Linked DNA regions of Saccharomyces cerevisiae S288C. The protein of the gene in region 1 purifies or fractionates together with the protein of each later gene. This does not show direct contact. Each region holds a gene or a part of one and is shown on either strand. Other genes may lie near its edges.

Region 1 (5,922 bases):
TTCCCCTACGATGACGGCATCTCCCAATTGGAATTGCAAGATCTATATGTGTTGGGGTTCCAAGAAGTAGTCCCCATATGGCAAGGCTCCTTCCCTGCTGTTAATCGTGATTTAATCGATAGAATTACAACTACTGCGGTTAATTGTCTGAATGAAAAAGTGTCAGCTACACAAGGGGATGAGCAGTATTCATGTTTAGGGGTGAATAGTCTTGGGGCGATTACCATAATAGTATTATACAATAATAATGCGCTAAAGGTAAAAGATGATATTTTGAAACGGAATGGGAAATGCGGTTGGTTTGGTACACACTTGAAAGGTGGAACTTTGATAAGTTTTCAGATGACACGCAATGGCGAGGAGAACTGGGAAAGATTTAGCTATATTTGTGCTCATTTAAATGCAAATGAAGGTGTCAACAATAGAAATCAAAGAATAGATGATTACAAACGAATAATGAGTGAAGTGTGTGATTCTGAGGTTGCAAAAAGCGACCACTTTTTCTTTCTAGGCGATTTGAATTTTAGGGTTACTAGTACTTATGATCCAACTACCAATTATTCGTCCACCACAACGTTAAGGCGTCTATTAGAAAATCATGAAGAACTAAATCTGCTACGTAAAGGAGAGGATGAACCGTTATGCAAAGGTTTTCAGGAGCTGAAGATAACATTTCCACCGACATACAAATTCAAGTTGTTTGAAAAGGAAACATATAATACAAAAAGAATCCCGTCGTGGTGCGATAGGATTCTCTACAAAAGCTATGCAGTGCCAACTTTCGCACAAGAAGGTACTTACCATTCCGTCCCTAGGTCCAATGCTCTATTATTTAGCGATCATCAACCCGTTAATCTTACCGTAAGATTACCAAGGTCTACAGGGACGCCAGTGCCGTTATCCTTACATATCGAAAAGTATCCTTTATCATGGAGCTCTGGCCTGATTGGACAAATTGGTGACGCAGTCATCGGGTACTGCGGTTGGCTAGTTACTAAGAATGTACATTATTGGATATTAGGTTCTTTACTATTATATTTACTATTAAAAATCCTGTAAAGTGATCTGGGCTGTCAGGCTAGAAGTTTTTCATTTATGTCTGAAACAGATAACGTCAGTTGTACCACTATCTTTGGTTTTATTCTTTTTATTTTCTCTTCCATATATCTTTACAGAACTTAAGTAATAATGAAAAAGAATGAAAAAAAAAAAAAAAAAAGAAAAACTAGTCAAAATTATTGCCATGAAAAAACAGGAAGAAGAGAGAGAAGAACATTAAAAAAAAAACTATCAATATTAGATTAACAAACCAATCAAAATGGAGGACTCTAATAATGAAGCCAGCGATGACTTCAACAACTTATTAAACAAAGAAATTGAGTCTGCAAAGGAAGTGAAGTTAAGAAAATTCGCGAACAGGAATAATAATAGGAACGAAAACAGTTCCAAAGTCAAAGATGCGAGTGGATTCAGACTGAGAGTTATTCAAACCGATGGGCACAAAACTAAAAAGACAGACCCTGATTATGAAGTGACAATTGATGGACCCTTAAGGAAGATTGAGCCTTATTTTTTCACTTATAAAACTTTCTGTAAGGAGAGGTGGAGAGATCGTAAGTTGGTGGATGTATTCGTGAGCGAATTCAGGGATCGAGAGCCCAGCTATTATTCCAAAACCATTGCAGAGGGAAAAGTATACTTAAACGATGAACCTGCAAACCTTGATACCATCATTCGTGACGGTGATCTGATCACACATAAAGTACATCGACATGAACCGCCAGTCACATCTAAACCAATAGATATTGTGTTTGAAGACGAAGATATCCTTGTCATTGATAAACCCAGCAGTATTCCAGTGCACCCAACGGGCAGATACAGATTCAATACCATTACAAAAATGCTAGAAAGACAGCTAGGTTATTCAGTACATCCATGTAATAGACTAGACAAGCCAACTAGTGGACTAATGTTTTTAGCCAAGACTCCATTAGGTGCAGATAGAATGGGAGACCAAATGAAAGCGAGGGAAGTCACCAAAGAATACGTAGCCCGCGTGAAGGGCGAGTTCCCTATAGGTATAGTAGAGGTAGATAAGCCTGTCAGATCTGTTAACCCTAAAGTTGCACTAAACGCTGTTTGCGAGATGAGCGATGAAAACGCTAAACATGCCAAGACCGTTTTCCAAAGGGTTAGCTATGATGGACAGACGAGTATTGTAAAGTGTAAACCATTGACAGGTAGAACTCACCAAATAAGAGTCCATTTGCAGTACTTGGGATTTCCCATAGCAAATGACCCTATATACTCGAACCCAGATATCTGGGGTCCAGATTTGGGCCGCGGTGGACTTCAAAACTATGATGACATCGTTCTGAAACTAGACGCTATTGGCAAGACTAATCCTGCAGAGAGCTGGATTCATCCTCATAGCGAGGGTGAATACTTGCTTGGCCGTCAGTGCGAAGAATGCGAGGCTGAAATGTACACAGATCCCGGTACTAATGATCTCGACCTCTGGCTGCATGCCTTCCGGTACGAGTCATTGGAAAGAAATTCGGATACGCAAAAACCTCTCTGGAGTTATAGAACAAAATACCCTGAATGGGCCTTAGAGCCACATCGCCGATATATGGAAATGGCCGTTAAGGAAGCTGGTAAGTGTGGCCCGACAAAGACTGCTTTTAGTGTTGGTGCCGTTCTTGTTCATGGAACTCAAGTACTTGCCACAGGATATTCAAGAGAGCTACCAGGAAACACTCATGCAGAACAGTGTGCTTTGATAAAGTACTCGCAGTTACACCCGAACTGTCCCACTATAGTCCCTATGGGAACAGTGCTCTATACAACCATGGAACCCTGTTCCTTCAGGCTAAGTGGCAATGAGCCTTGCTGCGATAGAATCCTGGCCACCCAAGGTGCCATTGGTACTGTCTTCGTGGGGGTTATGGAGCCCGATACATTTGTTAAAAACAATACAAGTTTGAACAAGCTGGAATCGCACGGTGTGAACTACATACAAATACCAGGCTACGAGGAGGAGTGCACCATCATTGCCTTCAAAGGCCACGATAATAGTGACGACAAAGCTTAGACTATTTAGCATATATATTATCATGTAATCTTACATCATATCTACAATAACCACTCATTACTGGAAACGGAAAAAGGCGCCACCGAAAATTTTGAGTAAAAAGAATGGAATTAACTTCAACCACAACACAGACAAAAAACACTAGATAGTGAACCAAAAGAAAGCACAACACCAAACATGAGCAGCATTCCAGCTGGCACTGATCCTGGGTCCTGCGGTGCTAATTTCAAGAATGACCGCAAGCGCAGAGATAAGATCAACGACCGTATTCAAGAACTATTGAGTATCATTCCCAAAGACTTCTTTAGAGATTATTACGGCAATTCTGGTAGCAATGACACGTTAAGTGAATCCACTCCCGGTGCGCTTGGGTTGTCCAGCAAGGCCAAAGGTACAGGGACCAAGGACGGAAAGCCCAACAAGGGCCAAATTCTCACACAGGCGGTAGAGTACATATCACATCTACAAAATCAAGTGGACACACAGAACAGAGAGGAGGTGGAACTGATGGTGAAGGCCACTCAGTTGGCCAAGCAGACAGGCACCATTGTCAACGATATAAACTTAGAGAACACCAGCGCTGAAGTCGCCCTGTCCAGGATTGGCGTGGGACCGCTGGCCGCAACAAATGATGACTCAGTAAGACCGCCAGCAAAGAGGTTGAGCTCCTTCGAGTACGGAGGGTATGGTGAGTACGGTAATGGTAGCTAAAAGTACTTCTGACTCTCACTATTGCTATGTTGTGATAACCCTCGTTGGTAGTGATACGAACACTTCTCTTCTTTTTTGTTGTTTTTGTGAGAAAAAAAAATCTAAATGAACATATTGCTAATGCAACGGATAGTTAGTTTTATTTTGGTGGTTAGTCAAGGGCGATACTTTCATGTTGGAGAGCTGACCATGACAATGTTGAAAAGACCTCAAGAAGAAGAGTCAGATAATAATGCTACGAAGAAGCTGAAAACGAGATTAACGTACCCTTGTATCCTCGGGAAGGATAAGGTGACGGGCAAATTCATCTTTCCTGCAATCACTAAAGATGATGTTATGAATGCAAGACTGTTTTTGAAGGACAACGATTTGAAAACTTTTTTAGAATATTTTTTGCCAGTGGAAGTCAACTCGATCTACATTTATTTCATGATAAAATTGCTGGGATTCGACGTCAAAGATAAAGAACTATTTATGGCGTTAAACTCTAATATCACTTCTAATAAAGAACGTTCTAGTGCGGAACTATCGTCTATACATGCAAAAGCTGAAGATGAGGACGAGTTGACCGATCCCTTAGAGAAAAAGCATGCAGTAAAATTAATCAAAGATTTACAAAAAGCCATAAATAAAGTCCTTAGTACAAGGCTTCGATTACCCAACTTCAATACGATTGATCATTTCACCGCCACTTTGCGTAACGCCAAAAAAATTTTGGTTCTGACGGGCGCTGGAGTTTCCACTTCTTTAGGTATTCCCGATTTTAGATCATCTGAGGGGTTTTATTCTAAGATCCGACACCTTGGATTGGAAGACCCTCAGGATGTTTTCAACTTGGATATATTCTTACAGGACCCTTCTGTTTTTTACAATATTGCCCATATGGTTTTACCACCAGAGAACATGTATTCTCCGTTGCACAGCTTCATTAAAATGCTACAAGACAAGGGCAAACTATTAAGAAACTACACACAGAATATAGATAACTTAGAATCGTATGCAGGGATAGATCCTGATAAATTAGTGCAATGTCACGGTTCATTCGCCACTGCATCTTGTGTGACTTGCCATTGGCAAATACCTGGTGAGAAAATATTCGAAAATATTAGAAACCTTGAACTACCATTATGTCCCTACTGTTATCAAAAAAGAAAACAATATTTTCCTATGAGTAATGGCAATAATACGGTGCAAACAAACATAAATTTCAACTCACCCATTTTAAAGTCGTATGGTGTTTTGAAACCAGACATGACATTTTTTGGCGAGGCCCTGCCATCGCGATTTCATAAGACCATCCGCAAAGATATACTGGAATGCGATCTATTGATTTGTATAGGAACAAGTTTGAAAGTGGCTCCTGTGTCTGAAATTGTCAATATGGTACCTTCACATGTTCCGCAGATTTTGATCAATAGGGATATGGTTACACATGCAGAGTTTGACTTAAACCTGTTGGGATTCTGTGATGACGTGGCCAGTCTCGTAGCTAAAAAATGCCATTGGGATATACCGCATAAAAAATGGCAAGATCTAAAGAAGATAGATTACAACTGTACGGAAATAGATAAAGGTACGTATAAGATTAAGAAACAGCCACGAAAGAAACAACAGTAAATTCCAAAAAAAAAAAAAAAAAAAAAAAGAAGAAAACACAGAAGGGGGAGTAAAAATAAGTATACCGCTGCTATTGCATATATTCGAGCATTTCATTCATGTATTTATTAATATGACCAGATAATAAAGAATATTCAATCTCAATTTCTTTAACTTCAACTTCGAAATCTTTTTGTAATTGTTTAATTTCATCATTTAATTTATTGATTTTACCACTGATCAGTTCCTCTTGAATGAAAATGTCCGTTTTGTCAATCTTAGGTTTGATTTCATTTTCATATTTGATTTGTAGATCCATCAATTTAGTATCATTTAGGCGCGACTCTTCTTTAGTATCTTGCGATAGCTTTTCCAAATTCTTGAGTTGCAAATCTAACTGTTCTTGTAAGATTTCTAATTTATACATAATACCTGTTTCCAATACATTCATCAATTTCAGCTTATTGTTGATTAAATTTTGCTTTAATCCCACAAGTTCCGTTTCAGTTCGATTAGACTCT
Region 2 (4,100 bases), 640 kb from region 1:
TTCCCACATTGACAAGTGAACAAAAAGCTGCATTGCTCAGTAAAACAGTTTATACTGTAGGCCCTGCTACTGCTAACTTCATCAGAAGATCAGGTTTCATTAATGTTAAAGGTGGAGAAGACGCTGGTAATGGTTCAATCCTTGCTGATATAATTATTGATGACTTGAGTACGGATATTAAGGCATGCCCACCAAGTGAACTATTATTTCTCGTGGGTGAAATTAGAAGAGATATCATCCCAAAGAAACTCCATAGCAAGGGAATAAAAGTAAGAGAAGTGGTTACTTATAAAACTGAAGAATTAAGCGACGGTTTTAAAAGATTCATACACGCCATGAAAGAATGCGATGAGGATGAAGTATTCTCGGACTGGGTGGTAGTTTTCAGTCCCCAGGGAACGAAAGAAATTACTCAGTATTTGGGTGACAGTAACCGCCTACCAGGTTCCCATCTACGGGTTGCGTCCATCGGACCTACCACTAAAAAATATCTGGATGATAATGATGTAACCTCTGATGTGGTCAGTCCAAAACCGGACCCCAAGTCGCTATTAGATGCTATTGAATTATACCAGCGCCATAAATAATATTGATACGTCATATTTCTCTCTATTTATATTTATTTACTTCTTCAAAGAAGCTATTGGGTAGAGTCCCAATCTCTTTTGCGTATACCCGCTACACCACCTTCAAATCTAGATAATATACTTCGTATTCTTTTATTCCCGACAAGTTCATTAATCTTTATGCTCTTGAATGACGGTTTGGTCCTCATTTGCTTTTCTGGTGTATATCTTGCCTTAGGAGGGAGGATCCAATCAGACCTTCTACGTGACTCCAAAATTTTGGGTACCAAACTCTCATATAGGTCTTGGATTTTGGTCTCCCCTTCATCTCCGTCATGTCCGTCGCCTTCTTCATCTTCTTCTGACCCCAGTCTAGACTGTGAACGTCTTTTGTCTCTTTCTGATATCCTTGATGATCTCCTTCTAATACCATCCCTTTCAGTTATATCTGAAGCAATGTCAATATTTTCCACTTCTGATATTGGAATTGGAAATGGCAATTCACTTCCATTTATTTCAGAAATAGTAACATCATCATTGTTTGCATTCGCTTCACTAATTGAGGGTAAAGATGCTGGTAGACTATTTTCTCTTTGAATAGCTCGAGATCTCGTACGTCTTCTTCGACTGGCAGCACCAGTAGTTGTAGGAGTGTTCTCACCTGAATATTCTGTATCGCTGATATCAGCTGATGAGTTTGATCTAGTAGAAGAGGAGGAGGAGGATGTGTTGCGAGGGATTGGTTCGCCGACTTCTTGTGTAGAGTTCCTCTTGATTTTCTTGTAGTATATTCCATATTCTTTATTTCTTAAACTGTCAATATCCACATGGCCACTTGCAGATATTCCTTTTTTGAACGTTTTTATCAGGAAATAATCCTGATACGATTCAAACTCCAAGGGTTTAATGGATTTATTAAAGTCTTTTATTTCATTTATTAACCTCCTCTTATCATTGATTAAACTTTGCAAATCACTATTTTTTATGATTTCCGTATTTGTACTCATTCGCACTTTCTTATAACACCTTCCTGTTGTTCTAATTAAATTCTTTTAATTAAAATTAATAGTTATTTTATATGCAATGTCTTATGATCACTTCTAGCTGTCAGTGTTCCTAGGATAGTGTTCAACAGCGTTTAATATTAATATATTGAGATACTTCCGCCAGATAAAAGAAATCCTTACGTTAAATATATATCATTCGTGTGCCGCGAAAATTCTTTCTTTAGCAACAGATATAAATCAGGTATAGAAAATCAAACGTCAAAGAAGGCGGCAGAAAAGTCACACTATTCCTTTTTCTCGTCGATATTTTCAATAGTTTTATAAAAATTGTATGTAGCTCATATAAATATCAATTATCGAATTACAATTTACCCAAGGAATCGATCATATCTAACAAATCATCTTCCAATTGAGGTTTGTCAAATTGTTTCCGATCTACTTCAGGTTGGGCATTATGCTCTTGACCCTCTTTGCTAGTAATTCCTTGGATCCAATTGCAAACTTGGGATACGAATGGTTTCGAGTTTGGGACAAAATGGGCTCCAGGATGAACCAACAATGTCCTTTTGTTATCGGGCCATGACTCGTACAATGCCATGATTCTAGATTCTGCTACAACTTCATCTAACTCCCCCCTTACATGTAGAGAGGGCACCTGGATAATCCTATGATATTCTTTCTGGTAGGATTGATCTTCTAATTTGAATCCACTAAATGAAATAAAAAATTTTAAAGCGGGCTGTTGTTCATCAGTAAGATTTAATATTCTGTTAAAGTCAGTGACTAAGTAGCCCCCAAGACCTGCACCTTGGCTGAATCCAATGACACCATCAAATGGTCCATTTTCTAGCACGTAGTTACGTAAATAGTTAAACACCTTTTGATCTATTTGAAAGGAATTGAAAGATTCGGGATTTCTAAAGAACCACCCGTATACTTCATCACTAGTCGCTGAGGTGTTGAATTCCTTCGCAGCATCTCTACCCTTTTCTGACTCTGATTGGAATAACGCTTTTTTATCAATTGAATGTGGGGCGCAAGGATAGTATAAATCGTAACCTAACTTCTTCAAATTCTTTCGTAATCCTCCAGTCTTCGCAGAAAATATCTTATCGGATTGGACAAAACCATGTAGCATTAGAACTTTCTTCTTTTCACTCATAATAATAATTCTGGGGTTTGTGGTAGAATTCAGTTTGAAAATGCACCGAAGTAGAACAGATTACTTTCTGTATTACTGCATCCATAGTGTTCTTTATACGCACAACTAGAAAAAGTAAATTTCTATCCTCTGACAACAAAGCGAAAAAGTAGTAAAACTTGATACCAGACCATGCTCCATATGACGATTTAAAAGGTTTATTCTGTCAAGATGTGCCTGCTCGAACTTAATAAGGGGTTTTATTGTATCTGTATCCTAAGTATGCTTGACGGTAATTAAAGAGCTTTAATTGGTTGCCATGACAACGGCTCTTACTAAAATCCATGCTGCAGCGATGTTCAATCATACATACCGTAATCCTCGCGTAAACATTCAGAGAAGTACATGACAAAGTTTGCTGTTCTTTATATCTGTATATATTAAATAATGGGGATAGTGACACCACTTAGCCTGTAAATAAGGAATATTCGCACTATTTAGTCAAAAAATCCATCATCATCATCATTAATGTTGCCATCATCATTTCCACCTATGCCGACATTAAATTTTCCTCTAATACCTGACCTGATCGATTTTTTTTCACCGTAATGCAATTTTCTCTCTTCCCTGGATTCTTCATCGTCTCGGTTCATTATCAGTCTGTTGTCTCCTTCTGCAACAGCGCCAACTTTTACCATAAAATCTTCAAAGTCTTCCATCTTGGAATTATTACCACCCAGTTCTAGTAGCGTTATCATGTTTTTGATTACCTCACCCCGGTAATATACAATTAATGTCGGGCAATTGGATTCGGGATAGTTTTCAATTGCTCTATTGGCAGGTATTTCTACAAATTTTATTTCTCTGAATTTGCATGCAGCAGATTGGAAAAGATGAGACAGAATTCTGCTTTGTAGTTTACTTTGAAGCGAGAGATGAACGAATACGTAGACACCACCGTCATCCTCTTCACCATTGTCATTGGTTTGTGCACCTTCATATTTCTTTCCCTGACTGGCCAAAGTAACCTCTTTGTTGTATTCAGGTTTGTTAATGTGGAAAACTTCTCCAAATTTGGAACGTTCCTGTAATTTGCGGATTTCATTTAATCTTTTGATCTTGTAAGCTTCCAAGAAATCTTCATCTTCATCGTCTTCTAGTTCTTCCAAATCCGACAAGTCTTTATCTTCTAGTCTATTTTCATGCTGCTTGGCAATTGCTTCTTCTAATGCTTCTTCTAACTTTGCAGTGGGCGAAGGTGCACGTTCTGGTATTACACCCTTCGCTCTTAAAATATCGTTCCATTCACTGTCTTCAGATTCGTCCACCTGGACCTGAAACATTGGTTCATTCTGCATTATGTCTGCTGAATATGCCTTTCTTCTC

The links. Proteins that work in one complex are often made in the same cells at the same time.
Region 2: the proteins of HST1 (region 1) and RFM1 purify together in Saccharomyces cerevisiae (affinity purification with western blotting; 4 studies listed by BioGRID, with this or other methods). This does not show direct contact.

Annotation. Positions count from the first base shown.
Region 1 is NC_001147.6:199,868-205,789, reverse strand, and holds HST1 (histone deacetylase HST1), read left to right. Parts: upstream 1-3,910; coding exon 3,911-5,422; downstream 5,423-5,922. Other genes in the region: phosphoinositide 5-phosphatase INP54, read left to right, coding at 1-1,059; bifunctional DRAP deaminase/tRNA pseudouridine synthase RIB2, read left to right, coding at 1,319-3,094; RTG1 (Rtg1p), read left to right, coding at 3,272-3,805; kinetochore-associated Ndc80 complex subunit NUF2, read right to left, coding at 5,493-5,922. UniProt on the Saccharomyces cerevisiae protein: NAD-dependent histone deacetylase involved in telomeric silencing.
Region 2 is NC_001147.6:843,058-847,157, forward strand, and holds RFM1 (Rfm1p), read right to left. Parts: upstream 1,574-4,100; coding exon 641-1,573; downstream 1-640. Other genes in the region: uroporphyrinogen-III synthase HEM4, read left to right, coding at 1-587; FSH3 (putative serine hydrolase), read right to left, coding at 1,935-2,735; PLP2 (Plp2p), read right to left, coding at 3,212-4,072. UniProt on the Saccharomyces cerevisiae protein: Tethering factor required for histone deacetylase HST1-mediated repression. Probably involved in targeting HST1 to a subset of SUM1-regulated genes.